2 linked regions of the Schizosaccharomyces pombe genome follow. Changing the gene in region 1 together with any one later gene gives a genetic interaction. Each region holds a gene or a part of one and is shown on either strand. Other genes may lie near its edges.

Evidence for each region.
Region 2: of sen1 (region 1) and cut3, a mutation in one rescues a mutant of the other (synthetic rescue), as found in Schizosaccharomyces pombe (2 studies listed by BioGRID).

The regions. Positions count from the first base shown.
Region 1 is NC_003424.3:3,264,262-3,280,359, reverse strand, and holds the start of sen1 (helicase Sen1), read left to right. Parts: upstream 1-12,319; 5' UTR 12,320-12,834; coding exon 12,835-16,098. Other genes in the region: protein Xrc4, read left to right, coding at 375-495, 541-677, 821-940, 993-1,409; protein Ebp1, read left to right, coding at 2,213-3,709; puf4 (RNA-binding protein), read right to left, coding at 4,130-4,435, 4,486-6,225; bouquet formation protein Bqt1, read left to right, coding at 7,661-7,943, 8,095-8,210; CHS5-like protein Cfr1, read right to left, coding at 8,263-10,125; syb1 (synaptobrevin family receptor), read right to left, coding at 11,620-11,783, 11,848-12,049. UniProt on the Schizosaccharomyces pombe protein: ATP-dependent 5'->3' DNA/RNA helicase required for the expression and maturation of diverse classes of non-protein-coding RNAs like precursor tRNAs, rRNAs and small nuclear (snRNA) and nucleolar (snoRNA) RNAs.
Region 2 is NC_003423.3:997,640-1,013,737, forward strand, and holds cut3 (condensin complex SMC subunit Smc4), read right to left. Parts: upstream 8,885-16,098; 5' UTR 8,825-8,884; coding exon 4,850-8,824; 3' UTR 4,624-4,849; downstream 1-4,623. Other genes in the region: mediator complex subunit Med15, read left to right, coding at 1-2,441; SPOM_SPBC146.02 (uncharacterized protein), read left to right, coding at 3,372-4,163; erv2 (sulfhydryl oxidase), read left to right, coding at 10,379-10,957; protein Cwf25, read right to left, coding at 11,160-12,255, 12,318-12,352; fan1 (fanconi-associated nuclease 1), read right to left, coding at 12,962-15,073; prp2 (U2 small nuclear RNA auxiliary factor small subunit, U2AF-59), read left to right, coding at 15,916-16,098. UniProt on the Schizosaccharomyces pombe protein: Central component of the condensin complex, a complex required for conversion of interphase chromatin into mitotic-like condense chromosomes.

The sequences.
Region 1 (16,098 bases):
TACTTTAATTTGAAATTCTTTTTTTTTAACAAACATGGTATAAACATTTGCGCTGATTCTTATCCAATATTCTCGTATGGAAACCTCTTATATTATACTAAACGATTTGTTATATCACCGAATCAGCAATTTTTCAATCAGAAAGATTCTTTTCTTTCAATGAAAAAAATCTAAAAAAAAAACAATTTTCAAGATAGTGTTTCTTAGTAACCTAAAATTTTAAACTCATTCGGCTTCCAATTTATCAGCTGCGCACACTAAAACATTAGCAGTCAACAAGTTGGATTATCAAGTTTCTTATTACGTTTCCCTGCAAACTTGCACTGAGACCGCCTTGATGTTTCACATCAAATTTTGAGCTCAGGAAACAACTCATGAAATTTTTTTTATCACTGAAAGATTTTAAAGGAGAAAAATTCGTCCTACGCTCAGAATTGGATGAAAGCAGTGCTTTCTTGTGCGCAATTAGCCCAACCTGTAGATACGTCTTAAGGGGTATAGAAAGATAGTGTGTAAAACGTTCTTTTACTAATTTTCCAGATGAAATACCTTGGAAACGATTGCAACGGAACGTAACCTCAGAATCATTAACCGATGAACTTATCGTGGATCTGTTGTGCGGCAGATCCGAATCAAAGCACACATTGCAATTAGTGGTTTTAGAGAATTTATGTAGGGTATGTTTATTGCAATACTGTAGTAGTTAATGAATTGCTGATTGTGTGATGACTTTCAAACCAAGGAATTTTTTTGTTCGTCGCATCTACCCCATTTTGCCAGTCGTTTTTGAGCTGATTAATTAAATATGCTAACAATTTAGATTTATATCAACTACGTTGATCCTTTCCCTTTACGTATTGCCTGGTTTGAATTAGAACAACAAGCATTGAAAGACCATGAACATTTTGATGTACTGTGGGAGTGCAGCCATTCGATAAAGGTATGAAAAAAACTTTACATTCTTTCTCTTTTGCTGATTATTTGAAATTTAGGACCTTGCCCTTGCTAGTATGGCTCAACAAAAAAACGAGCTTCAAAAGCTTATGGCTTATACAGAGCAACTTCAAGAAGAATGTAAGTCTAGGGAACGAAAGCTTATAATGAAATTTGCAGATATGATTAAAAATGCAAGAAATAACGAGGATAATGAAGACAACCACCATATTAATTATGAGGATGAATCTGATGTCGGGACAGACGAGCAAAAGCAGCAAGAGGGAGTCAATTCTTCCGCAGTCTCTGATACTGACGAATCTGCAGTTTCTGATGAATTTATGCAGATAAAAGAAGAATTTCCAATGAAAGCATTGAGCGCTTCACCAACTGCAGACGCTTCTCCCGAGTCAGCAGGTGAAGATGATTCACATAGGCGATCGTCCCACGAAAGTAGCGAAACAGTTTCTGAGTAGCTTCGGAAGGAATGATAATATGATACATTACGCTTCAAGTTAAACTACCCGAAATGCCTCTCCATTCTTACACTTTTTTCAGTATTCAGGTCAACTTTATTCTCTTTAATTTCAAAACAATAATAAATTTACTTAAATTTAAATATTCACACGGAATCCTACTATAGGTAAAGCACTTGCAAGATAAATACAATATGTATAGTTGGTGAATTTTTATAAAGATGTCTTATAAGCCTAGCACTTCCTTCCTGTACAAAAGAATGAAGCATGTTTGCGATCGTGTTTACCATGCTATTATTTTCTGATCCACTTTTTCTTCAGCAAATTTACTATTTACATATATAATTTGTTACTCAAGGTTGGGCGCGTTCTGAAGTAACGTGTTTATTACTTGTCGACAATACGCTTCATAATTTCACCAAAATCCTATAACCAAGCCTGTTGTAATTTTATACTGGGATTTAGGCTTGAATATTCTTTTTTGACGGCATTTAGCAATTTTTGGCTTTGGATAAATGAATGCTTAGCTGTGTGGGCAAACGGGTTTTCGCTATTGGAAACGCAGTTACTAATTTGAATTTGCTAACATTCATACTGTTTTTAAATTAAATGCTGTGAAGATTTCTTTTCTTAAACTTTTCATATCTTTTCGAGTTACATGCTATCGGTAATTGCGCTAATTGACGCGAATTCTTAATATAATAGGCATTATTTGTTGTCTTCTAATCGAAATCTTTTAATTCCATAGCATATCTCTTTTTTAAGTAAATACTTTTATTTGAATAGTTTATACAGCGCATGCGATGAGCAACGACAGCAGTGATAATCAAATTCGTCGTCGGCATCATCCAGTACTGCCTAAGGGTTCCTTTCAGAAAAAGGACGATTCTATCGTCTTAGAACAGGAATTATCTACTCCAAAACAAGTCAACCAAGCCCGTCCAAAGTTTCCATCTCCAATTACTCCTACTCTTCCTGAAATGCATCTTCCCGTAGGGAATTCAAAATTCCAAGCGGTATTGCCAAGCTTGATAAGCCCTACGCTTCCTCCTGGGTTTGGAATGGCAAGCGATGACTCTGAAGCATCGTTAGCAGAGAACGATTTACATCCCTTGGATAACGATTCTACACGTACTAGCAAAACGCTTAAAAATTCATCAGAGGTTTTAACCGCTTCCAAACTTACTGATGAAGGTAATTCTAAACCTTTGTTGGAGGAAGGGGAGGTAGCTGTCAGTTCTCCAATTCTCCTTGATTCAAAAGATGTAATAATGGGAGTCACTAAGAGCTCAAAAAATCTAGTTGAAGATGCTCACAAATCAAAGAAGGCCTCCACGAACAGTTCCATAAATAATATGGTATCTACTGTAAATTCTGAAAATTCTAATGTTAATAATGGATCCTCGTTGAATGGTAACACCAGCAGCAATCTCAAGAGAAAAGCCAATGTAACGTTAGGTGATTATAAGCGCTTAAAAGTAAAAAACAAGAATCCTTCTTCCCAAGAGCTGATCACAGCTGATGTTGACAAAACATCTGGTTCACTGTCTGAAAAGTCGGAAGTAAATCATGCCTCTTTGAAGAAAACGTATATGCGTCTTCTTAACAGTGGGAAAATGCAAAAGAAAGAATGTGATAAGAAAGGAAAATTTTTCGAAGCGTACGCTGTAGATGCTGTTTTATGTTACACAGTTGCTTTTCACCTACAGAATCTTTCCAATCTTTCGAGAAACCATCCCGCTACTACGAGTAACTGGAGAACCCTCCCTGCGTATATTCAGTTTCTCATAAAAGAAGAGGATAAACTGGATCCTTGTATTCAAGGACTATTTTTTCTTTTACTCGGGATTGCATTTCGTGAAATTTTTCATATCGAGGTTATGAGGATACGACACTCACAATTGAATCTTATGAGAGACATAAAAGAAAGCTCAAGTGGATTAACATCTGCCAAGTCCCTCGGTGATGCACAGAATTTATGTGAGAATGCGGTGCGCCTTTACTCTTCGTATAAACATTACATTACATCTATGAAGAAGGGAAGTTCGTTGTTGACAATTGAATATATCTCATCTACTGCACCAAATACTTTTAACGAATTTTTTGTCCAAAAAAAGGCAAATATCCCTTTGCCATTAGATATCGACGCTCCAATTGGTGTCACAATCAGGTTTAGTCACAATTTATTAAACGAATGGATTAAAAAGCAAGGAGATGTTTTTGAGTCAAAGCTTTTAAAAGAAGATATCGAAAATCTTCAATCTTTAGAAGAAAGCTACCCCATTGCCCAATATTTATAAATAATTGTATTAACTCCCATAACTTGAAAGATTTGAGTCGGTCTTCAATAACAGAATGTCATTCTTTCACTAATAAAGTTACTTAATGTATTTTGCTTTATCATGCCTTTGTGTTTATTTTCAAATATGTAGAATAATCGAATAGATATTGATTCCCACGCTAAGTAGAAGTAATAAACTAAAACGTTTAGAATGCATGAACTTCTTAAGTACCTAGTACTATTCTGAATTTATATGATACGTTCACTGTAAAGATTTAAAAAGTCGTAAAAAAGTTCGAGGCTAGACTTAATTGTCTTTTAATACTAGATATACAAAGAAAGGCGATAAGCCTTTATACTCATGGTAATAAATAAAGAGCGATTTCAACAATGCGAGAGTCCTCCTTAATAATATGCAAATTACAGACGATAGAAACGTTTAAGCTGAAGAGGAAGTATTAACTCTTTCAGAATTACTGTACACAATAGGCTTTTCTTTCGAGCTCGGATGACGACGTTCTAACTTTGAAAGAATGCGACGACCACAGGGCGTATTCTTTATGCTTGGAATAAGTGGTTTAATCCGTTCAACCAACTCTGCGCGTTGCTTTACACTCGCATTATCAAGTGCCGTTTGAATAACATAATTAGCGAAAGAATCACGAAGTAACTTGGGAAGATGCTTTTCATCCATTAGTTCCGAAATCAGTTTTTCCTTAATAGCAGCGGGAGCAAAAAATATACACTAGTAAATTGATTAGTAAATTTCTGTTTTAACTTTACTACAAAACATACCTTTTCCATTACATTAGAGCTAAATTTTTGAGTTGAAAGAGCTCTCACTTTGTATAAAAAGTATGAGATAATAGCCTCAGTATGGTTTGGGTTGTTTAATTCCAAAACATACTGTAAAACGTAATTTCCGAATGCATCTTGTACGAGAGTGAGCGCATGGGGGACAATGTGTTCCACAAGTTGCTCGATCTGCGCAGGTGATGCATGATCGAAACATCTTTGAACGACACAGCATCCATGGCGGTGTGTAGAAACATCTAACGGATCTTCACAGATAGCATCAAAAATGAACTGACAGTCCTCTTGAGAGAATTTGTTGAGACATTTTTGAATGACATGATTACCATTTAAATCCTTAGTCAAAAGCACGACATTAGGACGCAAAGCATTCACGATACAAGAAATTTGATCAGGAGAAGAGACTAAATCAATAATCTTTTGTAAAGCACGGGTTCCGTGCATATTAAACGATATTGGAACAAGTTTAGGGGCAATTATTTGAATGAACGTAGATCGTTGAGCTTCAGATGCATGCTCAAACAATTTTTGACACAAATAGTTACCAAATGCATCAACCATTAACACAGCTAAATAAGGATGGGTTTCAGCAAAAACGGCGTCAATGTGAGATTGATTTTTCTTTTCTAGAAGTCGCTGTAAATAACGACAGCCATGTTGATCCTTACAGAACGAAAGAATATTGCTATTTTGCAATGAAAGAGATGCAACCGAAGAAGAGAGAGAGGAAGACACGCTAGGGTCATCGGATATCAAACTAGGCACGTTAAACCCAGGGGTATCAGCAGGACTCGGATTTCCTACAGTATTAGCCGAAGGAGGAGAAATAGTCGGTGTCGGAGCAATGAGTGTGTTAGCGATATTTGAGCCAGAGCTGTCAGTACTGCCCGTACTGGCCGTTGAGGCAGCCAAAGACGGAGTTAAATTTTCACCAAAGAAAGAAGTGGCATTAGAAAGTAGAGGGAAGGCCGCTGAATGCTTTGAAATAGATTGCAGACCATTGGCCATTGATGAAGAAGAAGTAGTAGAATTATTAGTCGACGAAGAACCTGAAGTAAAGGCAAAGTTTTTAGAAGCCGAAGGATTATTGGCGATCAAGCCAGGATTACCTCCAAGATTCGACGACGAAGAGATGCTTCGGCGAGAAGTAGAAGGTCCGGGCGTGTACGAAGACAATCCAGGACGACGTAAAAGTATGGGGATGTCATCTAACGTCGTATTCATTTGTAAGATAGAAGCCGAGCTATTTTTAGAGTTACTTCTTTGGTATGAAGCAGAGCCAGGCAAGTATAAAGAAGAAGATGGAGATGACAAATTATTCAATCCACCGCCCATAGTCGCAGGCGGAACAAAAGTTGTTGATGAAGAGTGAGAAGTAGTGAAAGAAGGAGTGTTAGAAAGAAGGTTATAGGGAACGAAATTCGAAGATCCGAACGTGTATCCACTCATGCTAGTATTCCGGTTCATGTTCCCAGTACGGTTTCCGAAAGCGCCGGATGCCAAACCGCTTTCCACAGCGGCTTTTGAACCATTTGTTTTTCCGGATTTAGAAGATGAAGGGATCTCAGACAAAGCAATCGGCGCATTAGCGGCATATGGATCCCAAGAATTCGATTTCAATACATCTTTATTCTCAATATCAGAGTACTGTGAAGAAAAGACTGGAAGCGAATATTCTGTAGACATAAAGGATGGATGAGATTTAGAAGACTGCTCGGTCATGCTACGCTTATGTTTTGCGAAGGATTACCTGTTGTCATATATTAACAGTCCGTGGGATAAATTGTTCTTAGTGGGGGATTTTTCCCAAACTATTTCCTGTCCCGATACAAACAAAAAGATGTAGAGAAGAACGATACAACACAAAAAACACAACCTCTACTTTACTTTAAGCAGGCGACTGTACAGTGTGTGGAGTGGAAACCATGCTTACTGTGAGATGTATTGTACCGACAGCAGGTAACACTACGGGTAACGCAACTTACTAAGGAAGAAGCAGGAAGGATTTGAAAAAAAAGAGAAAATGTGAAATTTGTGCTTCGAAGACAAAAACAATTTTTTTAAATGCTAAGAATCATCCCAATTCAGTTTCGTTTCACTCTCTACATTTTTTCTTGTAAGGCGTAATGCCGTAGTTTGACAAAAAACAGATCCCATGAGGTGATTTGTAAGATACAACACCCGTTGGTATGCCTTTTAATGTTTTTAATAACATGTCTTAATGATTTTTATTGGGAGGACGGCTGAGAGAAATTGACGGCAGTCAGTGCATCCATTCCTTCGTTGCACATGTTGATTTTACTTTTACTCGAGAATAACGCCAGGCGGTTCTTTTTTTTAAGCAATAACTACATCATTCGAACATTAATTAATGCTTATAAGAGCTCTTCAAAAGTATCTATAAAGGTTGAGCCAGCTGGTATTTTTATGTCGGCAACTTGATACAATTGTTGTGTATGATTAGTCGCTACATATTTATTTCATAGATTTTCAGTGAAAATCAAATTTATTTTTGGATTCCTTCTTCAAAACTCATAAACAGCCGTCAACTTGTAAACAGAGGCTCACTAATAGATGACGCAATTTTCGCTTAACAACTGCTTAATGCACTCTAAAGATGATAGGTAAACAAGGTCTACTACTTTAGCAGATTAAGACAGTGAGCTGTATTTTGAATAAACATATGTATAAAAAAGCACATCTATTCCTCAAAAGCGTAATTTTTTTATTTTTATAGGTGATATCTTTACAACGTTGTGGGCGTTAAAGATTGTTATGTAAAGCAAAACAGAGAACTTGCTTAAGATTCTCTGAATTTTTAGGTTTCCCTAAAAAACCCACTGTTGGTTTATTTAATTTTCATTTAAGTCTGAAAAAGTCTTGTTTGTGCTATCAGAAAATGCAGTCGTCAATAGAGGATGTCCAAGCTAATATCAAATAGGTGTGGATTTCTTTGTGTAAAAGAAGTCGATTCCTATTCTTTTTTTTAATCTTTTTTGATTTCAAATTTACACTTTTAATAGGTTGTTGGCTTTAATGTCTATCCTCTTATTATTATATGTGGTGTGTTCATATTTTATGCACCTCTTCTTCTACAAACGACGCGTTTTAAAAAAAAATCCTTTCACCCATCCTAAATGATACTGATTTAAACAAAATGCATTTATTAACTACGACGCTTATTTCTTTTGAACAAAACAAAGTAGAATATTTAACCCAAATCGCGATTTATACTCAAACACCTGTATGCACTGATTCAAACTGTGAGCATGCTAGATTTTTAAAACACAGCCTTATTCAAGTTTCAATTGAAAGGATAGAATATTTATACTCGATATTTCCGAATATATGGCAATTCGCTTTGCTTTGCCAAGGTCAAAATAAAGAATCATTGATACATATGGAAGAAGACGCCAGCACGAATTTCAAACTACGATATTGTAAGTTCTGTCTATCAGTATAATGAAACATAATTTCAAAACCTCCCATTACCCATTTTTGACCTAGTTGATTTAATTTAAAAAAAAAAATTTATTAGAGAACGAAAAAAAAATCCGAAGCTATATATTTACTAATGCTAAATGAGTTTAGATGTACTTCCATGGTCTAGAAGACTGCAAGGATACCAGAGCATTACAGTTCAAAATGGTTCCCATGTGCCTTTAGTCAAACGATTGGAAAAGTGGAGGATATTCGTAGAATGTTAACATATAAACATAAGAAAAAAAAAAGACTGCAGAATACAAGAGATCAATGTCATTAATCAATGTTTACACTTTCAAACTCGTCAGAAGATTGTATAATTTCTGCTTCTTTGTTGGGTATTAGATTGTCATCAGCCGTAGGTTCCGAACTTTGCTTAACTGTAGTAATATTTAGATCTTCTTCTTTATCGAGCGCATTCAGTTGCAAGTTAGTAGTATGCGCTTTTTCTGGCTCTAAGACTTCAGAAACTTGAGGGATTTCCTCAATTGCACCGTTAGTACCAATATCTTCAGCTGCTGCGGGAGATGGCTTATCATCGTCTGAATTTTCCTTAGTATCTAAAGGGGCTTCGATTATTTTCTCATCTGTCAAGCCATTCGCATTTTCAGAATTAGCATTGTTTTTTTCAACCTCTTCGTTAGTTGCAGGTCCTTCTTGATTCAATAAAGATTTAACAGCGTTCTCTTCAATTATTTCGTTAGGTTCAGCTTCTTCCTCATTCGCTGAGGATTCAACAGTACTCTTTGTAACTGCTTCACCGGAGGTAGTTTCTTCTTGATTGATTAAAGATTCAGCGGCTGTATTATTTTCTTCTTTTTCATCTTCAAGTCCTTCAGTCTCCGGGGTATTGTTTTCTTCGTTCACGTTAATCTGCTCAACGGCTGGCAAAGAAGATGGTTTTTCTTGATGATTGTTAGCTTCAACTTCGGAAGTTTGCTGGGCAGCAGGTGTACTTTCCAGATTCGAATGTTCCTCAGCATCCTTTATTTGCATATCCTCTTCGGGATTTTCCTGCTTTGTAGAATTTTCTGGCTGATCCGCTTTGATGTTTTCCGAAGAAGTTGGAGCTTCATTGGGCTTACTAGAATCACTTCGTAAACCAATGTCGCTGGAAACATCGATTGATTGCTCAGCCTCAGTTTCAGGCGCTTCAGCCGGAACAGAAGCTGAACTAGATGGCTCAGCATTTGCACTATTTTGAGTTCCCTGTTGGGTTGTTTGCTGTGGAGCTTTAGCTGATGCAGCACCTTGAGCAACTTCAGCGGTATTCTTCGGTTGTTCGGTTGTAGCATTGAGATTTGGTGCAGCATTTTGCGCAGCTTCTACAGAATTAATAGAAGCGTTAGCATTGTAAGAAGCGCGATTTTCGATGTAAAAACCACTAACGTTCACCAAACGTCCTTCAGATTCGCATTTCAACAAATAATCCAAACCTAAAATAGGGATATTGGCAGCTTTTGCCTTTTCGTACTCAGGACCCCCAGTAGAAGAGCAGATAAAATGAGTTGTATCGATACGAACGCTAGTTTGAATTGGTCTAGCGTGAATGCGTTCAATACACTTTTGTAAAGCCTCCATCTCATTGGGAACCATGTTGCCAACACACACTTGAATTCCTGTGAGATCTATCATTCTTAACGTTTTGATGGTAATGTGTTTGCTGGGAAATGTTCCCGCAGTCGTATCCAAAACAAGGGAAAAATCGTATTCTGTATCGAGAGATAAGCCACTCAGCTTGGCATTGTGAGTAGTCATGGGATTAGATATGTTAAGCACTCGAACATTATTACGGTACAAGCAAAGGCTTTTGAGTCTCGCAGTGGAGAGTTGTAAAGGATCCCATTCCAATACAATGCTAGTCTGAGTAGCATTCTTTAACTTAAGAACAGGAGGAGACGGCAATTTTTGGCCATATGTTTCAAAAATTTCTTTTTGAACATCATCGAATGCAGTTTCTCTTGCTATCTCTTCCTCTTTATTGTGATGCACAGAGATATCGATTATAGAGCCTGCAGTCGCGTCATTCGGCAGCAACACGGATGGAAATTCTATAATATGAAATGAAGGTGTCAATAAGATGGCCATTCCCGCATCTATTTTGGCCACAGACACCATAAATTGATTTGTATCATCCATTTTAGATGCTATTATTGATAATCCCCTTTGGTTGTGGTGGAGTGTTTACCTTAACCAGCACTCTTACACTTCTAACTATAGGTAGCACTTGTTACCTAAGGAACCGTAGTAAAAATGTAGGTTATAATCATCTTTGTTTTGATAAATATCAAGAGTTGTTGTGATTCCCTGGTTTTTCACAATCTATTTACATATCAAACTTATATATTTTTTAAATTTTCTGGTTAGTATCATTATAAGCGTAATTCTAGTAAGGAAGACAATTACAATTTATTAAAATTATATACAAATATTTGAAGATATATTTAATTCAATCACTCAGTAAAAGTGAACGATTTAATATATGTAGTTTATTATTATATTTCAACGAGAATTCATACAAACAATATTACAAAAAAATCTGTTGATTTTTTCAATCATCTAAATTATTAAAATATTGGGCTATTATTATCTATTCTTCAGACTAAAGCATTTTAAGGGGAGCAAATATACTACTTTCTGATACAATTAAATTCTAAATTACGTTAAGTTACATTGATAGTAAACAAAAACAAATGCAGTACTGTTGAACCCAGTTGATGAATATATCTTAATTCGTAAACCGTGCTGCATTCAAAATTTAAAATACTACACGAATGAAGGATTAGACCACAATATCTGTTGAGCAAAATAGAAGTCGAAAAATAATACAATTGTTAATCTGGATATAAAACCACGTGTGAGCAAACTTAAAAAATATTTCCTAATTATCAGGTTTACACATTTCACTCTATAAAATTAATTAAGAATAGTGGTTTTTTAATACACCTATCAGTGCAATAATCAGTATAAAAAGAAGCTAGCTTCTAAAGGAAAAATATGAAAATAAGATAACAAATTTGCTCCCGTACTAAGTACTTTTGAAGAATTAGAAAAAAGCCGTAGACAAATGGAATATCGAGGCTAATCTGTATACATTAAAACATTATCCATCTTTATGCTATAGGGTTATCCATATAAAGAGCGGAATAGAAAAGAAATACCGAGAAGGAAACAAAAATTCTATTTACCATCTTAAGTACGGAAAGTAATGATAATTTTGTATCCATAAAGATTTCCTTTGTCAAGCAAGCAAGGCCCATGATATGTATGGTGAGGTGTAGAAAGAAGAAAAGAGGAAAAAGCAATACAGGCCAAAACCAAATTGCTCAACAAAAAACCAACCTGGTATTCACTATCATTGACCCGTCAGTCATCAAGTATGTATATGCAAGAAAAATAAAAACGAATAAAGGATCTTGAGAAAAAATGCGTTATCTCTTTGCAAAAAAAGTGGCCCTGTCTACATCAGAAGCTTTTTTCTTAAAATTCGATTTATAGGTTGTTGTGTCAGGCAAGAGAGAAAGAAAGAGAGAAGGAAGAAAAAAACCAGAGACAAAAATACGCTTGAAAAAAAAGTATTCAAACAGCAAATATTTTGACTCGGCATGCGACTAAGCTACATGATACATCTTCTTACTTGCCATGAAATTTTGTTGCGATAGGAACAATAATGACAACAAGTAAAATGATGATACCAATGATAATGCAAAGACGCATACGCATGTCCTTCCACCACATCTTCTTGCGAACACGATTGGCGCCACGACGGAAGCCTTGCGCGCTAACAGCAAGGTTATCTTAAAGAAGTTAGCTAAACGTTCAAAAAAAAAATTTAACTGTTAACAAAAATAAATATCATACCTGTTTTATCTTGTAAAGAATCAAGGCGTTCTCCACGTTCTGAAACCTTAGAAATGTTTTCACGCATAATCCCCACAGTATCGTCAATCTGCTGCTGAATTGCAGCTGTCTTCATATTCGGCGTCGACGAAGCAGCAGCATTTCCACTACGAACAGCTGCAGAAGGCTCCGCCGGGATATATGGGTCATATGGCTCAGACATGGTCGTATGTGTTAGTTGGTGGAGGATTTATTTTTGCGCTCGGTTGGAGTTGATGTGTACCAATTCGTTAATCCTCTTTCCATTGCGTTAAACATCTGGCTTTGTAATGTTGGGTTGCAAAGCAGTTTTGTGATTATACTTATATAAATTAAAGAAAAAAAATAAAATAAAGTAATAAAATTACTTCTTGCCTTTTTACAATAAGAAACATGTAACTAGCTGTACCCTCATAGTAAATAACGTAAACAAATCCTTAGTATTGGTGAATTTGGGAGGAACCAACTACGCCCTTTGGAATAGAGATTTGGAAACACGTCTTGTTTCTTGGCGATTTGAGCTGTTCATAACAATATATTTCTTCTTCTAAATTTCCTTGAGTTATGAAATTTTTATGAAAGTTTTAACTTTCACATAGTGTTAAAAGGTCTCCTCTCATCGCTGTAGCGTCCGAAACGTTATTTGTTATTTTATTCTTGAGATCTTTTGTAAATAAAATTTTATTTACGTTACGATTTACGTCTGGATTAGGGTTTTGGTTTTGGCACTTGCAATATTAGATTTTTCCTGGGTTTTTGGTCTATCGGTGAAACAACGTTTATTTGGGTCCATTTAATCATACATTTATTAGAAAAAAGTCTTTAAAAAAGAGACAATACTCACTTACCTACATTTCTTTTGTTTGTTTTTTTGTTTTCACTCTTTTATCAGAAAAACAGGTTGAAATTTCCAAAAAAAATATTATTTACTTCATAACATTAAAAAAATATTAAATTTGATTGTTACAAATGGCGGAGAATCTTAGCGATCAAGATTGTTTTGAAAAATTATCGTCTAGTAAAGAGGGTCAGCATTGGTTTTGCTCAGGACTACTGACTCAGTATATACAACCTACCTTCTTTTGGTTTGCACATGATGAAACTCCGAGCTTTAAATGGGTATTAAATGCCTATCATGAGCGTTTACGCTCTTGTACTTCTTGTATACAAGCTTATTATGAACTTCGAAATGAATCCCTTGCGAAAGGTTCATATTCTTTTACTGGGTTTTCAATTACCGATTTACAGGAAAAGTGGAATAAATGGGATATTATCCGTGTCTTAGAGGACTTCAAGGCCCTGGAGGATGAAACAATTGACTTCACGTCTTTGCCTTGCTTAATTTTCGAAACCCTCTTGAATCCTAAATTGTTTACCTGTAAAAATATTTATAAAAATGCAATAGATGCATTTAATGGTCTACTTTCAGATTGGTGTTCTAATATATTTCTTCCTGGTTATTTACTATTTTTCTATGAAGCTTCCCATCCCGATGTTTTGGAATGGGTTCATAGCTTTTTTAAGGAAAATACTGAAATAAGAATTTCTTCTGCTACAGTTGACGCCGTTTTTAATACTGTAGTGTTTGAAAGTCAAAATTCCTCTGACAGTGATTGTAATTTCGTGTCTATAAGTAGTCCTGAATTTTGGGAACGTACTTACATGTTTTTAGAACTTCTTCCTTTACAATCCATTACTGCTGCATGTGAGTCCATTTTAAAAGATTATCTTTTAAATTTGGTAAAGACTTCTGAATCTCTATCCTCTCAACAAATGTCCTGTCTTCGAATTTGCTGCAATTCCTCATCCTTTTGGTCTGCCGCTGATTCATTTAAGGAAGTGTCTTCTTTCTTAAAAAACTTGCTAAAAAATGTTACAGCTACACCTTTTGAAGTATCTGACATGAACTGGGCTTACATTATTGCTTCATTTTTTCGCACATGTTTAAATGACTTTGTTAGTGTTTTTCCGGAATGGCTTAAAGGATTTGTAGAAGAGAAGCGTACTATAGGTTTCATCATTTATTCGGTTTTGGATGCGTTATTTGATCTATTATCGCTAGATTACAGCTCTCCTTCATTTCTTAACAATACACTATCGTTGATGAATGCTAATAGCATCACTATTTTACAAGATTATCCGGAGTACATGCTGAAACTCAGATTGCACTCTTTACTTTATGACATTGCATTTATAAGTTGGTCTCATAAGGCAATCACTAAAAATCCCTCATTTGTTTTCGATCCTTCATATGAACTCTCTCCTTTTTGGAAGCTTGACAATCTACAGGAAGAAAAAATATCTGACGTCCTTTTCTCTAAAATTTCAAGTTGTTGCTTTGCCCACGATATTGAAATATCCGAAAATTCTACACCGTCTGGAACCATGGTGCAGTTTGCTGAACTATGGCAAGTAATGTCGGAATATATCAGTGGATTTTTAAAAGGATTTTCTGAAAAGTCGTCTACTGAAATTTCAAATATGCTGGGAGATTCTTCAAAATTTGACACAGTTGTATCATTTCTGTTATCTCCTACTCAGCCGCTCTATGTTAGTGCTTTTCATATTGTCCAAATAATTACCAATTGCACTAAAAACAGGAATGAGGCTCTTAAAAAACTGGTTGCAATGGATTTTCGAGGAATTGTGCATGGTCTAGCTGATGCTGTTCTTAACTGGCAATCTATTTTAAGCTTCTTTCCTGCTCTTCGAATTATGAGATTTTTGAGCATTACTAATAAATCCTTATCATCTGACAATTCTGCTTTCACAGAAAATGACATACCTACCTTGGGTGCTTATTGGCAGTGCATCTGGAACATATTGGATTTAGTTTTTTCCAACGTTGCCAGATGGTCGCTTAACAATCCTGCTGATACGGTTAAAGCATTGATGAAACTAACACTTAAGTTTGTTGATGATCTTTTCCAAAATGACGGAATCTTCATAAAGCTCCTTGCTAAGTTTGATAGCTTGATTCTGTTAGGCGAAACTTCTGAATCATTGTTCTCTTTTATTATGTGGCTTAAAATAAACGATTTAGAATTAAGGGGAATTGTCATCAATAGTTTATGCAAGCTTTTCACTAAATTTTCGAATTTTGACTACCTTTTCGAGGATCGCACCGTTACCTTCCTTACAGATTTTATCATTAGAAAGCAAAAAGCACATTTGTCTGCCGATCAATGTAAACAGCTTGCTAATGTTTTGACTCAGGCTAGCCCTGAAGCAAAGACTGTACTTGAGCAACACCGACTTTCGGAAATGCGAAAAACAAAGAAACAAACAGAACTAACTAATAGTGCACATGTCATAAAGCCAAGTCCTACACCTCAAATTACTGTGAAACAGAATACTACTAAATCTTCAAGTGCCCCTCGCATGGGAATGCTGGAGCAACTAAAGCAGGAGTATTTGACTAAACGAAACTTTGAATCTAAACTCAAATCATCTGCTGTATCTTCAAGAAAGCCAACATTTAATGAAGTCAAGCCAGCTAACCTTTTAGCTGAGGACCTCTCAGATAATGAGGATGATATTGATAGAAAGCAAGGATTATTCTCTCTTGCCAAAGCAAACAAAATTCCAGAGATACGCCAACAAGAGCGACGACAAGTGCAGCTATTATCTAATTCCACTATTAAGATGCATCCTTCACAAATTCGGATGATGACTAATAGGAACGTTGCAAATGTTAAAGCACGCTTATTTCCAAGTATGACTGACTTTTACAAAGAAATTTTGAGCTGGGAACCAGCTAATCAGTCACCTAATCCTGTACTGAAATTTCATAAGCTTGATGGGAAAATTATTGATAGTTTTAAAACGGTTGAACATTATATGGAGGTTTTGCAGCCGATGATATTTATGGAATGCTGGAGTCAAATTCAGTCAACAAAATTGGATTTAAAATTCTCTCCTGTTGAAGGAATCATGGTTGAAAGAACGGCCGTCAATAATTTTGTTGATATAGGAGTCTCAGTGGCTCCCAAGGATCTATACGGTTATCCCTTATATGATACGGAAGTAGTTTCGTTGGCTTTTAACAAGGAGGATGCTTCATCAATGAAAGGGCTGTGTTGCTTTGCGAAAGTTGAACGCATAGTTAGGCAAACGAATGGAGTTTTAGTTGTCTTACGTACGTTACCATCTATGGAAATTTTGAACAAATTACAAGGTAATTGTGCTTTATGGTTTCTAAAATTAACAAATTTGGCTACATTCACTCGCCAA
Region 2 (16,098 bases), on another chromosome or scaffold:
GTTCATTGCAGCATATGCAGCAACAACAGCAGCAACAACAACAACAACAACAACAACAACAACAACAACAACAACAACAACAACAACAACAACAACAACAACAACAACAACAACAAAAGCAAGCTCCGCAAAATGCTTTTTTTCCAAACCCTCAAGGTAACGTTGGTGCCCAGTCTCTTCAAAGTATGTCTCCACAAGACCAACCTTCTACTCAGCAACAGCAACCTCAGCGAACTGCTGCTCCTCCAAATAATCCTAATGTGAATGCTACGAATAATAACCGTATAAATATTGAGATGCTAAATATCCCGGTTCCTAAGCAATTGTTCGATCAAATTCCTAATTTACCTCCAAATGTCAAAATATGGAGAGATGTGTTAGAATTAGGACAATCTCAGCGTTTACCTCCGGAACAATTGAAGCTAATAGGTATGCTATATAGAAAGCACCTACAAATTATTTTGCAGCACCGACAGCAACAGCTTAATAAAATACAGAATGCTCGAATGAACTCGCAAAATGCCCCTAATACCAATAAACTGGGGAATCCACAACCTGATAATACGGGCAACCCCCAAGCGTTCTCGCAGCAAGCATTTGCTCAGCAACAGCAACAACAACAACAGCAGTTGCACCGTACTTCTAATCCTACAAGTGCTTCTGTTACTTCACAAAATGGCCAACAACCGATCAATACAAAGCTTTCAGCTAATGCCGCCAAAACTAATTATCAAAGCTATTTGACAAATAAGGCTCGCAACGCTACTCAACCCACTCAGCCGCCTGTATCTCAGGTCGACTATTCAAATAATCTACCTCCTAATCTTGATACATCGTCTACATTTAGAAGTTCTGCAAGTCCTCCTTCAGCTTTTACGAAGGCGGGGAATGAAGCACTTTCAGTTCCTCTTAGTGGTGCAAGAAACACCGCTGCTTCAAGGCCTACAAACTTAGCGGCTGGAAATAGTAGTGCTTCTATCGTTCAGCAACTGCTTGAGTGTGGAGGAACTATGGGACAACAAAAGATGACTTCGCGTATTCGAGAACTCACCGAAAGAGTAATGCATAGTTTGATGCGGCCAGTGCCTCTTGATTTGCCTCATGATCAAAAGGTTATGATTGCGAGTCTTATCAAATCTGCATATCCTATGTTTAGCCGTACAAATCAACTGATTTGCCTGTTTTACTGTTTGACAGGCAATGAGGAAGCCACGATTCAATTGATACAAATGCGTCATATATTTAAATTACAACTTGAAGGTCTTCAGCAAGGTGTTTTTACTTGTGCTCCGCAAACATTGGCCAAGATTAAGGAGAAAACCAGTCGCTATTTTGCCTTTGTGAAAGCTCAACTGTTAAGACTTCACCATGAAGTAAATAACAATAATATGAGTATTCAAAATGCTCTTGCCCATATCTCCTCGCTCCGTACTGCATCTATTAATCAACAGCAGCAGCCACAGCCACAGTCACAGCAGCAACAACAGGCTTCCCAGTTTCCTCAAGCTCCTTCTGTATCATCCAATGTACGTCCTATCAATGGATCAATTCCTAATGCGCAACCCAGTGTTCCTGGGCAAGCCCAACCTGCAGCCAAAGCAAATTCTGTTGGTAACACATCTTTTCCTGTTGACAGTAAACTTGCATTCCAATCCTTGGATGTATCTCAGCCGGATTTGCAAGCCAAACAGAAGATTGCATCACAAGTCATGAAACATGGTTTAAAACCAGAAGATCTCAAGTTACCGCCTTCTAAGAAGAAAAAGATAGAAAACTTATCGACAGTTCAAAAACCTAAGGATTCAGTCGTAAATACTCCTGATGTTATAATGTCAAGTGTAGATGAAATACCTTCTAGTGTTTCTCCAGGTACTATAGCCAAAGAGGAAGGAATGGCTAAAGCTCGGGAAGAAGCAATTGCTAATCCTTTGAAGTACGCAATCGATGCATTTGTGGCTGTAGACCATGAAGAAGAAGTTTCTGCTATCAAATCATCACAGACTCCTAGTTCTATTTTGAAAACACCTCAGTCGTTTTTCATTCCTCCGTCAACTCCAGATTTATCATTTACAGATAACAAAAACTCACTTAGTCCATCTAATATTTTGTCATTGGACGGAAAATTTTCATTTAATGATGATTCGGAGCTTTGGGCTGATTTAGGTAATGAAATCAACTCTGAAATCGGATTTTTAAAGGAACCAGATACCATGAATCTTGCTTTGGATGCAGATAAAGATAAGACTAAAATGCAAAATAAGCTTACTCAAATTAATTTTGATGAATCATGTTTTCTAGATCCAGCGATCGACGATAAAGATCCATGGAATGAAATGCTTCATGAAAAGAAAGTTTTGCTAAAGCAGCTTCAAGTGGGTAACGAAGATGAAGACAACATCGCATTTCCAACATCTACAAACATATGGCAAGTTGTGATTTAAAATTTTGTGATACGATGGTTCGCAATTGTTTTTTATTTATTTATTGCACGTCGTCTCAAAAAGCAAATTGGACATATTTGTCCTTCTACAATATCTTATGAATACCATAGACATATATTGTTTCTCTGTTTATTCAACGTTTCTCCATTTTTTGAAAGCATCTGTTATGTTGAAAATTGTGATTGGGAAAAGGTTTGTATAGTCCTTGTGTTTATATACAATGATAAAAATAGAACCTGAATTTAATATTTTGAAGATCCGGTTGTACCTTTATTAGGCACAATGCCAGAAAGTATGGCTTTTTCCCGATTAATGACCTGTCTATGAGACTCATTGTGAACATGAAAATGTCGGTATAATGAGGACCGTTACAAATTTTATTTATTCATACGTTTAAGTTGATTTTAGTTAATTTATTATTAGTGCACCGGTTGGTGTTGAAAATTAATTTGTAATCTCTTAAATGAATATTTGTATAGTTTTTAATGTTTACTATCTCAAATATTCTAAAAGTAGCTATCAGTTTATGTTTTTGCTTTGGTTCAAGAGCTTTGGTTTAACCTAACCGCCAAATAGCTATCTCGAATTACCATCTAACATGAGAAAACAAATTAATATTTCAAAACTCCCGATAATTTATTGAGCTTAATAATTAATTAAAATTTACGTATTATTGAAGTCAATAAAAGCTTTCTTTGTCTTCCATGAACAAAGAAACCTTGTGATCTCAGTCTTGTATATAACACGCTAACTCGTGGCCTACTGTAAATAAAAGTTATCTTACTAACGATATATTATTTCTTGATTCATTGAAATAAGAATCGTAGGATTTAACAATAATTGAATACAGAGATCTCCTAGCTTCATTATTAAGTACAAAATAGTCAATTAATTTTTTTATCAAGCAGATTAATTGCTTTTAAACTTACAATGAATGGTATAAGGAAAAAACCAGCAACCTTGCAACTCCATAATATAAAAACCAGCTGTTTCATTGATGGCAGTGATGATCAAAGCGATAGAACAAGGTCAAGTTCTGGAGATAGCACCTCTAATTCACTGAAGCTATCACATCATATATCTGACGAACTGATCAATGCCATATATAAAGAGTTAAAGTCGCCAGTATCACCTTGGGACAAAAACATTTCGCAGCATTCGCCATGGCTGTTGGAAGCGGCATCGAACTCCATTGGTGATTCAAGTCCTTTACTTTCACCAATCTCTCCATTAAAGTTAAGATTTCATAAATATTCGGTTTCGAAACAGCTAAACAGCGTTGGAAAGCAGGGTTTTGGTCTTTCTTCAAACCATAGTCGTTATGCCTCACCATCCTCCCCTGCACGGCTTGCAAGAGGTGCACTTGGTGAGGAACTTAGCAATTCGCAATACAGATTAGAATGCGCCGCAATTCAGAAGCTTGTTGCTCAAAAACGAGCCAATAGAAGGAGTAGTAAAAGCACTTTAAAAAATTCTGCAAATGATATAGAGTTTTTCGATATTGAAGAAGTTTCCTCTCGCAAGGGACTAATAGACAGAACACCTTCTAAAAGAAATGTTACTTCCCGAGTTTCTGATGCGTATTCTCGTCTTAAATCTGCTGTGAAAGGCGAATCAAGCTTGTCCTTTAAAAGAAACCGATCGAAATCGAAGAGGAAAATTCAGCACCTGGGTTTGACTGAGTTTAATGGGTGGGAACACCATCAGTGCGACTGGCTATAAAATAAGTGTTACTCAGATGCTCCATGTTAGGCTACATGGTGCTAGCCATGTGGTAATTAACATTCATTTATTTCCTTCATTACTTTCTTCCTTAGTCCTCCTATCTCTTATTAGCTGGAAAGCTTTTATCATTTGCATTTTTCTTGTTAATTGGTCTTTCATTTATCTCGTCGTGTGCATTGAGATTTCCTATTTAAGTTTACGACTCATATTGTTTAATCTAATTTATTGTTTGTTTCTAATTATTCTTAATTTACTACCATAAAATTAAATTACTTAAAATTGGATACGTTCTATATGGTATGCATACGATTGCAATAAATCTTTAAAAGCATTACCCACTAAAATATTATACTATGTAACTACAAATTGTAGATACCTTCTGAAATTGATGATGTAAACAACATATTTAATTATATACAATTCCTTTGCGCAGATTTTACAGGCTTTAAAAGCGAGTGAAGATTAATTTTATATATTTGTAGTCCTATTACGTTCATAAACAGATTTCTGAAACATTAACATAAACTGGGTGCCACAAAACTAAATTAGTTTAATCTTCTCATAACATAGATTTATTAGTATGCACACTGTGAATTATGAAACACTGACATTCAGTAGCCAAAAATTCGTAAATTATTAAATATCTAGTTTCCAATTTTCTACGTTTTTATTTGAATGTGCAGTTAATCTGTAAGTATTTCCTTGTTGTTGATTGTGACACTCTTAGTCATATTCGCCGTTTTATAAATGCCAACCAAACGAGAAGATAACTCAAACATATTACTTCTTAAAGAAATAACAATAAACTGCGCGTTTTTAGTTCTTTCCTTAATGTAATTCGCAACAATCGAAACGTTTTTAAAGTCTAATGCAGCATCGATTTCGTCCATAACGTATAAAGGAGTCGGTTTGTAATTATGTAGAGCAAAGACAAGGGCTAGAGAACTTAACGTCTTCTCTCCTCCCGAAAGGTTAGATATGTTCTTCCAAGATTTTTTGGGAGGCATCACACTAAACAATACCCCCTCAGAAAACGGATCCAAACTATCCACTAACTCAAGCTCTGCGTTTCCGCCCATAGTAATAATTTGATACATTTCTTTAAGCTTCATAGATATAATTCCAAATCCGTACATAAACTCATCGAGCCTCTGAGATTGAAGATCTGTAACGACTTTTTTCAAATCGGTTCTTTTTTGCAATTCACTTTGGTAATCAGAATCACGCTTTTCTGCTTCCTTGTTACATCTACGATATTCAGACAAAACATTGATATCTACTTCTCTGTCTTCAGTTTTCTTTTTCAAGACTGAAATATTAGAGACCAGCTCGCTTTTATCAACTGAACTCAGTTCATCTTCAGAATATTCGGGAAAAGTTGAGTCCATTGTTGTCTGGTCACAAAATTCAGTCAAATTGTGTAACTTCAGATTTGACATGAGCTTTAAATATTTATTTTCATTATTGCCGACCTCTGATAATGCCGTACGCTGCTCTTGAATTTGATTTTCCAATTCAATCCTTTCTGCTTTAACGGAATTCATTTGCTTAGATTCAAATTCAATAAATTTTACTAGTTCGTCGATAGAGGAATTGATGTCCCATAGAGCATTTTCAAATTCGCGGAGCCGAGATTTGTGTTCATCCACATACTTGTTTAACGATTGTAGTTCAGTCTTTAAAGTGGCTATACTTTCAGTAGTTGTATCGTACTCGCTAGTAAGGTTTGATAGTTCAACTTGGAAAGATTGACTGCGTTGCTCATTCTTCTTCTTCTTGAAACTCATTTTGTTAAGCTTGTCTTTAACAAATTTGAGTTGCTCATGCAAATCGTCGACCTTTGATTTTTGTATACGATATCGAATCCCACCTATTTCCATGATCTTATCTTGTAACGTCTTAATTTCAGTGACAAGGCCTTCATTGTTAATATTTATGGCCTCAACTTCCTTGTCCATATTTGATATTTTGTTTTGGAGATTCCGTTTACGTTCATTGTTGTTTCTAATACTTTTTAAATCGGATTTAAGCTGCAAGATTCGCCTCTCTTCTCCAGCTACCAATCTATCACAAGCAGAAACGTCAAGCTGCAGCTTTGAAATCTCTAGTTCCGCCGATGGAATACGTTCCGAAATTTCAGTAAATCGCTGATTAAGGCTCTCCAGCTCACTTAGGTGTTGGCGATATCGAGTGTCTTCTAGTTGCACTTGTTTATCACAAGTCTCAACTGAAGCCGGCGATACATCACTCGTTATAGCTGAGGACATTCCGCCTTTCTTTACTCGAGTACCACCTCCAGTCATTGTGCCCGATTTATCAATTAACTGACCACTTAGTGTAACAACTCTCCAACGTGTTTTGCCATACGCAATTCTATTAGCCTGTTCCAAATTTTTAGCAACTAAGGTATTCTGCAAAACGTTATAAAACGCAGGAGCGAATTTCTGATCATTAAACCGAAGTAAGTCGAAGAGCCGGGGAACATTCTCAGGTGTTTGGATACGAGCTAAATTTTTCTGCGCCAGTTCTTTGAGAATAATAAAACTAGCACGGCCTAGGTTATTGGAGCGCAGAAAAGCCACACATTTCTGTCCAGTTTCAATATTGTCAACTACAATATGATTTAAAGCAGGACAGGCAGTTGAAATGGCCACATCATAAGCCTCGTCAATTGTAGCCAAATCACCAAGACGTCCAAAGAAACCATTTAAATTATCAGATTCATGAAGTCTTTGAAGACTTTCTAACACATTTCCACGAGATCTAGAAGAACTTAAAGAAGCTTTCATCTCCTCCAACTTTGTTCTGTTTGACATAAGATTTCGGTAAGTATTGTGAACAGTTTCCTTCTTTCTTTCAATGTTCTTACTAACATCTTTCTTCTCTCCTTTTAGGTCGGAAAGCACTTTAAGCTTAGAAGACAGGATATTCCGATTTTCTTCTGCATCATTACGCAGTTTATCAAGCGAAGATTGAGAGGACTCAACATCGTTAATTAGATCATTTTCTTTATTTAATAACATATCCAACTCAACCTGTAAAATTTGTTTTTCTGATGTCAATTGGTTTATTTTCTCGAGGGCGGGAGCCATAGCCTTTTGCTTTTCTTCAATAGCATTTGAAATACCTTCCGTTTTTCCCTGTAGACTTTTCCTAATGTCATCCAAACTCAATTCTTCCTGTTGAAGTCTTAAACTGAGATCGGCAATTTCAGAATTCAACTTTTGGGAATCAATATCATGAGAGCTTAAAGAATTTTCTGCTTCTGATTTTTCGAATGAAAGAGCCTCAATGGATTTCTTTAACTTTTTTTCTTTATTAAGTAAAAATTTTAACTGCTCTTCAATCTTCACAGTCTGTTGTTCATAAGACTGGCGAGTTTTCTTCTCTGAAGTACAATCGTTTTTTACTTTTGCTGCCTTTTCACGCAATGATTTAACCTCTTCATTTTTTTCCGAAATATCTCGCTCGGTTTGTTCAAATTTCTCTAAATGTGCTTGTAATTTTCCTTCCAAACTATTAAGCAAGTTTTGAACTAACGTCTTTTTATTGCGTGTTTCGTATAGAATAGTACGGTAAAGCTGATTCTGTTTCATAAACAACTCATTTTCGTCTTTGAGAAAAGAAAGAACCGAATTTTTGCTATCTTCTAATTTCGCCTTTTCAGAGAGCACCAGTTTTAAACGAGATTCTTTCTCAGCACAGATATCATCAGAATTCGAAAGTTCTTGCATATTCTCTTCTATAATTGGCTTATATTTCGAGGTTCCGATGATATCTTCAAGATATTCAAGAAGACCATCATCACCTTCTGATATAGCCCGGGGCTTCATTTGCGCTATTGATTCGACTTCTCCTTGAAGAATTAAAAATCTCTTATGATTCAAGTCTATTCCTTTCTCCTTTAAAAGATTAGAAACTGCAGAAAAGGAACTCTCAACCCCATTTACAAAGTATTTACTAGTATTATTTTTATAAGCAGTACGACGAACTGTTAGTTCGCTTCCATCAACATAAGTAAAGTCAGAGTTTACCTCTTTAAAAGTAATTTCGACATCACAACTATCGAGAGAAGGATGAGTTGCAGATTTATGAATTAAGGCAGACGCTTTGGATTGCCTAAGTTTACTAGCACGAAAACCGAAAACAAAAAGTAAAGCATCGATAACATTAGATTTCCCAGAGCCATTTGGTCCAACAATTGAAGAAAAAGAAGGATGAAACGGACCCACTATCTGAGTTCCTGCATATGATTTAAAATTTGTTAGGCGTAGCTCGTAAACAACCAGTCTAGGAGGAAGAACCTGAGTGGTTTCTTCACAATTCTCAATATCCTCTGTAGTAGTAAATTCTGACACAAGTTGTGAACTCCGTTCATTGAAACCTGTTGATTTAGATGGAGTGCCATCTTGAGCAGACATAAATTTGTTGAGCAAATTAGGGCGTTCGTTTAAAGAATCGGTAATTCTTTTTTTTAAAAAGTCATTGAAAAATGGGCGAGATGGTGTTTGCTCTATCTTGACAATTGATGCGACATCTTTCTGAGAAGGAGATTCTAGCACTGAGCGAACCAACTTTCGTGGCCTTTCACCACGATCTGGCGTAACATCCACAATCGAGGGTGTTGAAGACGTTCGAAAGATGCCCTTGTCAGACATAAAGATAGTATCTTCAACAAATTATATATTACTTAAAATTCTAAAAGAGTGGGTGGTCGTGAAAAGAGGTGTGTTGTTTACAACGGTTGAACAGCATTTCACCCAACGATGAAGTCAATTAATGAATAAAATATACAAAAACCCACAGTTAAATTACACTAAAGCCCATGTTTATAAACTAAAGACTGAAGTATAATTGTGTAAACAGGTCATGTTAGATGAAAATGATCTATTTATTTTATACCTACACACCTGATTTAAAGGAAGACTTCAAACATCTTTTTACCTGTAATTATAAACTCATGTGTCTATTATACATTAAATTATTATGCTAGTCAATTTGGTATTCTTGGACGTTGAAAGTTAACTCAAAACGAAAATTAAGTAAAAGAGAATATTGCTCTGACACTTTACACTAGCAAAATATTAAAAGGACGAGCAGAATACATTGCTGTTTCTAAGTTTTTACTAGCACAAGCAAACATCCTCTTTCAATTCACACAATAAATATAAAGCTCAAAGATTTTTTGTTCTGTATTCCTTCATTAAATCTAGCAAGACGACGCAAAAATTTACCTTGTTTGGGTAGCCCTATGTGTGAAATAACCACGAATAAAGAATAATCAGTAAGTAATATAAATAGATTAGCTCTTTAAATGAAATGTTAATGCAAGGAAACGATTTGTCCAAGTTTTTTAGAACAACTTTTCAAATTCACTATTGTTTTGTATTTTTTTAGCTTTAAACTTGACAAGCCTTTTGCCATATGTTAATTTAACCCAAAATTCTTACATTTTGATTTAAACTAATCAAACGCAAATTCATATCTTCAAGCAATTGCAAGTAATTTATCTTTAAAACATTTAAATCTGTAAACATAGATTATTATATGCTATCTATGCTCACTTGATAACTTAGCTAAACTCTTCCTTCTTTATTTATTTATTTATTTTTTAAACAAAAACTAACAAGTCCTCTTAGTTTTTATTTATTTACGTTAAGTTTCTTTTTTTTAGTAAATAATTCCAAACTTAAAAAAAATTTTATAGTGATAAAACCTAGCAATGGACTTTATAATAATGATACTTTAGTTAATTTTTTTGTTGTTATTTGGTTATATCTCTATCACTAAACTACATATTTATTAACTATTAACTATACTTATAATTAAAACTCTTCTGAGTCTTAAAATAAAAAGCATATAGAATTGATATAAAAGATATTTAATATCTAAAAAAAAAATTAAAGGGTTGGCAATACATTTATCTAAATCAATTTGGTAATGCATTGGATCATCCAGCAGCCTGTTCCATCTTACTACTTTAAAAGTTTTTCTGTTAATTAGCATTAGATATAACGATGCACTCGCTCTGTATAACCCAGGAGGTTAGTTTTGTTTACCATCAATTCCTTCTCGTTATTGCAACATAGCGATGCCGCATATCAGATCAAAAAAGCCGCGTGAGTTTCTGTCCTTGCAGTTCTCCTTTACAATTAATTTGGTAGATGAAGGTGTTCTTACGGGGAAAACGAAGTAGCTAAATACTATAAAACATGATCCTTAATAGAAGAATTCAGGTGATTCTCCCTACCCTACTAATCTTATCGTTTATTATATGGATCTTTCACAGTGTTATGGTAGACAAAGATTGGCGTCTGTTTATGCCTGAAATTAAATCGCTTCCGGATCGAGAAGGTCAAGGTAGAAAACCAATTGAGATGATGTCCACGAAGCACGATAATAACACGAATAATTTAATGGTAAATGCATACTGGAAGTTAATTCATACGGTTGTTTCCAATTATCCAAACAGACCAACATTAGATGAGCGAGATATCTTAAGACATTATCTATTTTCTTCCGCTATTACAATGCCATGTGGTGAATACTCTGTGGAACTCCAAAAGATACTAGATGTACATCCTCCACAAACAAGTTCTCGAAAAGCAGCAACTACGTGGGCTTGCAAAGTACACAATCAATTAAATGAGAAAATGAATCAACCAAAGACATCATGCGATGGATTTAATGAGAGATATGTAATCGGATCGCCGACCTATCGCGAAAGCGAAGCTGAAAATGTTCCTGAACGGGTACAAGTAATTAACGAAGATCACGACTATTCTGGTTGATAACAATGGTTAATTTTAAGAATTCATGTATTATTAAAAAATATTACCGTCTATCATGCAATGCATTTGGATGTTAAGCTATTTATTTAATGAACCCTAAACTGATATGTTCAACTGTTTACCACCGTCATTTCCACTCATTATTCAGAAATGTTATATCGTTATGCATCAAAGTTATATTAGAAAAAACATAGAAATCACGTTACGGCCTTAACATGTTATGTCGGCTACTATTCACACGATCTGCCAAGCTTACAGAATCACCAGAGTAGATCTCTTTTCTCATATTTCTGATAAAATCTCCTTGGTTATCCCATTTTCTTGCGGTATCGCGTCTCTCTTTTTCCAAAAACTGTTCTTCATCTCTTTCTTTCTTTTCCAATAGTTCAATTTTTTTTCTTCGTGACTCATCTAATTCCTTAGCATTGTCTTGCATTTTCTGTAAACGGCTTTCTATATCGGTATGCCTTTGAGTGATAGGTTGCGAGTCTCGAGAATGAAATTGGTGATTTCGAGTCCTGAAATCCGGAGATGGTGAACGAGAATATTGTCTGCTTGTTCGCACATATTTTTTTAGGTCTCTTTCATCTTGAAAATGACCCTGATCAAAGCGCATATCATCATCGTAATGTTTCTTGAAATAACCAGAGTCATATTTATCTCGATGCCGATAGCGATCATTGTGTGTGCGTTCTCTCCAATTATTTCGGTCATTACGGTAGCTTCTTCTTGAATGCTCCCTTTTGTCAGAAGAATGTTGTTCATTATCTGACCTTTCCCTGCTTCTGTCTTGATTGCTTCGATGATGACGATCGCGGTGCCGCCGTTCTTTCGACTTTCTATCAGAGTCTAAAGAGTATTTCCTTTTTTCCATAAGCGTTTGTAGTTGTTTTTGTTCTTGTTGCTTGATTGCAAGTAAAGGATCTAGTCGCAACTTTGCCTGTGTGTCTTGTAGGGAGTTCGCGTTTTGAAGAGCGATAAACTCTGTTTTTTCTAATGAATTATTTTGATCCTCTATCTTGTCCTTTAAAAGATCATCTAGACGTCGCCTTCCAAGCAAATATTCTTCCATTTCTGAAGAGTCACGATTGGGTCCATTCGTGTTAGGAACTGCATACATCCACTCAACTCTGTCTTTTCTTTTTTTTCCACCAGCAGCTTCTTGTAGCCGATGTAATTCCAATAGTTGACGTTCTTCTTCAATTTCTCGCCTAAGTTGCTCGACTCGCTTCATCTCTTCTTTGTGAGCTTGCTCATCTTTCCAAACTTTTTCCTGGTTCCTCATTAGCAGAGGATGCCTAATCATAATATTAGTAAAACATCTTTAAACAATTATATTAATGCAAATAAATCCACTTACCAGCTTTTCTTCATATTTAGATCTCCACCACCCATTTTGAATTACTAATAAGAGTTGTTTAAATTTCAAAATAAAATTGAGAGGAAAATCCACTAATTGTTTTATTTTTAGGATTAAAAACCACAATTCTCAAAAAGTGGCTATTAATACAAAAAATTGAGTCTCGCTTTACCTGTGACTCATAGTGTTTTGCAAACATATACACTAAATTACTTGGGTAACATGTTACCCAAGAATAGAAAGTCAAGCTTGCGAATTCTGAGACCAATCAATAATAATCACGTTCAGATTTCTTAGTATTTTAGCTATAACTAAGTCATTGATAAACGTAAGTTCTATTTCACTTTAAACTGATTAAAAAGCAATGTATCATTAAAAATCCTACTTGATTATGAATGTGATTTTAAACAAATTGGTATACAGCATGAAAACATGGGTTGAAACTTAATTATATACTGGAATAGAATATGTGAATTCAGTCCAATAAGTTGCATATTATATACTTAATCCATTCAAAATCAATCAACATTTCTAAAATGAGAAATGACTAAGTTATTCTCCTTGGCAAAACGATGGTAATTCAGCAAGCAAAGTGTAATTTACATAAGCTATGCATTTAATGAAAAGATTAACAATCACGTTTTTTATTTTTTTTTGTGCATGGAGACATGACAAACTTCAACATCAACTTCACTGGATATTAGTAATGATATCCAGAATTTTTGCGCTTCTGAGAGCCTATCATTATCGCTTTTAACTTCTGAAAACATAAATTTTTTTTTAGACGGATTCCACAAACATAAATCAGGTATCCCGCTAGAACTATTTTTATAATCTTGGGTCAAAGCAAGAAATATTTGGGCGAGTCCATTATCGTTGATACAATCGACAATTTCAAGAAGCATTTCGCAAGTATACGACCAATTAAGACCTACACAAAATGTTTTTCTTTGGTGCTCTCTGATATAATTATCTTTTATAATTAGGCCAGCTTTCCCATTTCTTATTTCCTCAAGTCTTTTCATGATTGTCGATTCTCTAGATATATAAAAGGAATCAGTGTGCAAATCCAAAGGTGCACTTTGAAACGGAGATTGAAAAACACCAGGAACGTCCTCAAACAAAATATCCCAGAATGTCAAAGCAAACAAAGTTAGCAAAATGCTGCTTTCAGCATGTATACCTTCCCACCCAATCGATTGATAATGTTGAAGAGCAAGCTCTTCAACTGTGATAGCATTATTAGTCTTGCTACGCCAAACAGTCCGGTTTGAAAGGTCACCGTTATGTATTCGTTCACCATGAAGAAAAAGTCTTGAAGGATTATTATTTATAAGTTTCATGCTTTTTAATTCGGTAGTATTAGAGACTTTTAAACACTTCCGTAAGCGAACAAGTCTCCTTTGTAAGCTAAAGTAATATCTGAGGTGGGTATACTTGTCTTCAATACCATTTTCACAAGTTGATAAAGCAAGCGTTTTCCAATAACGCAAAACGTTAGTATCCTCAGTTTTAAAGTTGTATTCCAGTAAGGCTTTTCTATTATACCAATGTCCTCTTTTACCCACCAAATATATATTTTGAGATAAAAGGGTATCTAATATTTCATGTTCAACCTCAACTAATCGCGACTTCGCGAGAATATTTAGACTTTTATGTATTAAGTATGTGTAAACAGCACCAGGACGAAAGCTAAAAGAAAACCTTACCAATCGAGTATCTACTTTTCTATTTTCTTCCACCCAAAATTCCCTAATGTCTTCATTTAGATATGTCGACCATATAGGATATATTTCAAAAAAACTGTTCAACGCTTGTTCGAGTGCTTCCTTATCCGAAGCGGCAGTGTTTTCAAAGATTGGAACCAAGTTTTTTGAAAGTTCTAAAACCTCAACGTATTCAAGGCATTGAGCACGACAATTAAAGACGTTTGAAGTTCGCGATAAAACGTAATTCGGGTAGGAAAATTTGTTAAGGCGTGCTAATATTAAAGACGTAAGCGATTGTTCATCATAAATGGACGAACGAAAGTACACAATATTAATTCGATGAAATAGGTCTACTAAAATTTTCTTTGGTTTCACACAGGATTTGCATTGATATAATAGTTGCTTCCGAAGAAACGACTCTTGCTTATGCATCACACCAAAAGCATCAAAGGACAAAAATTGTTGACCATTACAATGTAGTACTGATTGTCTTTTAGATAGGAAAATGATTTCTTTTGAAATTTCAGACCTGCTTTTTCCACACACCTTCGTTTGTCTAGCTAACGAACGCAATTCATCGAGAGATAGAATTTCAATTATTTCTTCAGTTGACATGAGTGATTCATCTTCAAAAAAATTTTTCAGAACAAGCTGCTTACAGCAGGCAATAACATCCTTGCAATCTGGATAAGTCAAATGGCCCACGCGGAACCATTTATTTCTTTTACGCATGAATAGACGAACAAACAAGTACCGTTCATCCGAGTCTAAAGCTTTAAAGTTTTCAATAACCCTCAACTCATCATCAGTAAAGATATGCGGTTCACAATCGAGGACGGTGTTTAGGATTTCTTCGAACCCCAGCAGATACATTGAATTTTTAGTAGAATATACATTGTGCTTATTAGTATTGGCAACTTGTCCTTTAACTGTTGTCTCTGGTGCTTGACATACAACTTTTAAGGGAGGGAAACATAACTTGTTCTCGTTTACCCCAGATTTATCTGGAGTGTTTATGTCGCACGCTTCATTAAAGAATCGTTTCATGAATTTTTAGATATCACAGCAGCGCGACTGAATAAGTGCACAAGATGATGGCCGTAAGTAAACAAATATTTAAAAAAAAGAGCGGCTTTTACAACAATGGAAAGCTAGTATGAAAATAAATAATAATAAATTTTGAATGAATGTAAACGTCTTCTTGTGTAATAAAGTAAATTTTTAAAAGATTGAACATACAATTTAAGAGCATGGATTTCAAGGATAAAATGAGACAAACATTAAATCTATCGTGGATGTACTGGCAAAAAAAAAACGAAAATTATTGAATTTCATGGCAGCTGTAAATTTTTAAAGATTGCTTTAAAAGAAAGCCATACAATCAAATACTATGGTCAAAAGAGAAAAATTCGTTAAAACTTAGGAGAATGGTACTAGGGTAAGGACAACAGTTTAAATAAATGCTTTTGAAAATTTAACTGCATTCGTAAGTTACAGTGTTGTCTATAATGCAAGTTTAGCGAAAGTTGCTATTTGAAACTAAAAAGAAAATGTAAGTCAACAACGTTGTGCTTAAAATTACGACGCTGGCGAAGTTACTACAAACTCTCACTACCTTAACTTAGTAAGTCGAAACTTTTGACTAACCTTGGGCGTATCACATAAAGAAAAAATAAGTTAATTATTATTGTTCATGTTATAAATTTTTTTTAGCAAGGAATCCAAGAGCATTGACGCGCATATCATTTCATTAGAATTTGTACTTTTGTATTCCCTACTTTCATCAAAGTTTTTTCCGGAGAATTTAAGAGTTCATTTTAATAAACGAATTTCTTCCCTCCCTTCTTTTTTGAATAATTTTTTAAATAGCCTCATATTCATTCACTAACATGGATTTGTCTTCCAGATTATCATCAGGTTCTTCACGGATACCCAAGCGACACAGAGATTATCGCGATGAAGAACCTAGACGAGAAAGAGGTTCGGGTGGGATAGGAAGGGAAGACCCGAGAGGCCATTATGGCTCTGAACGACCTAGAAGACGTCGCCGAGACGAAAGTGATTTTCGTAGA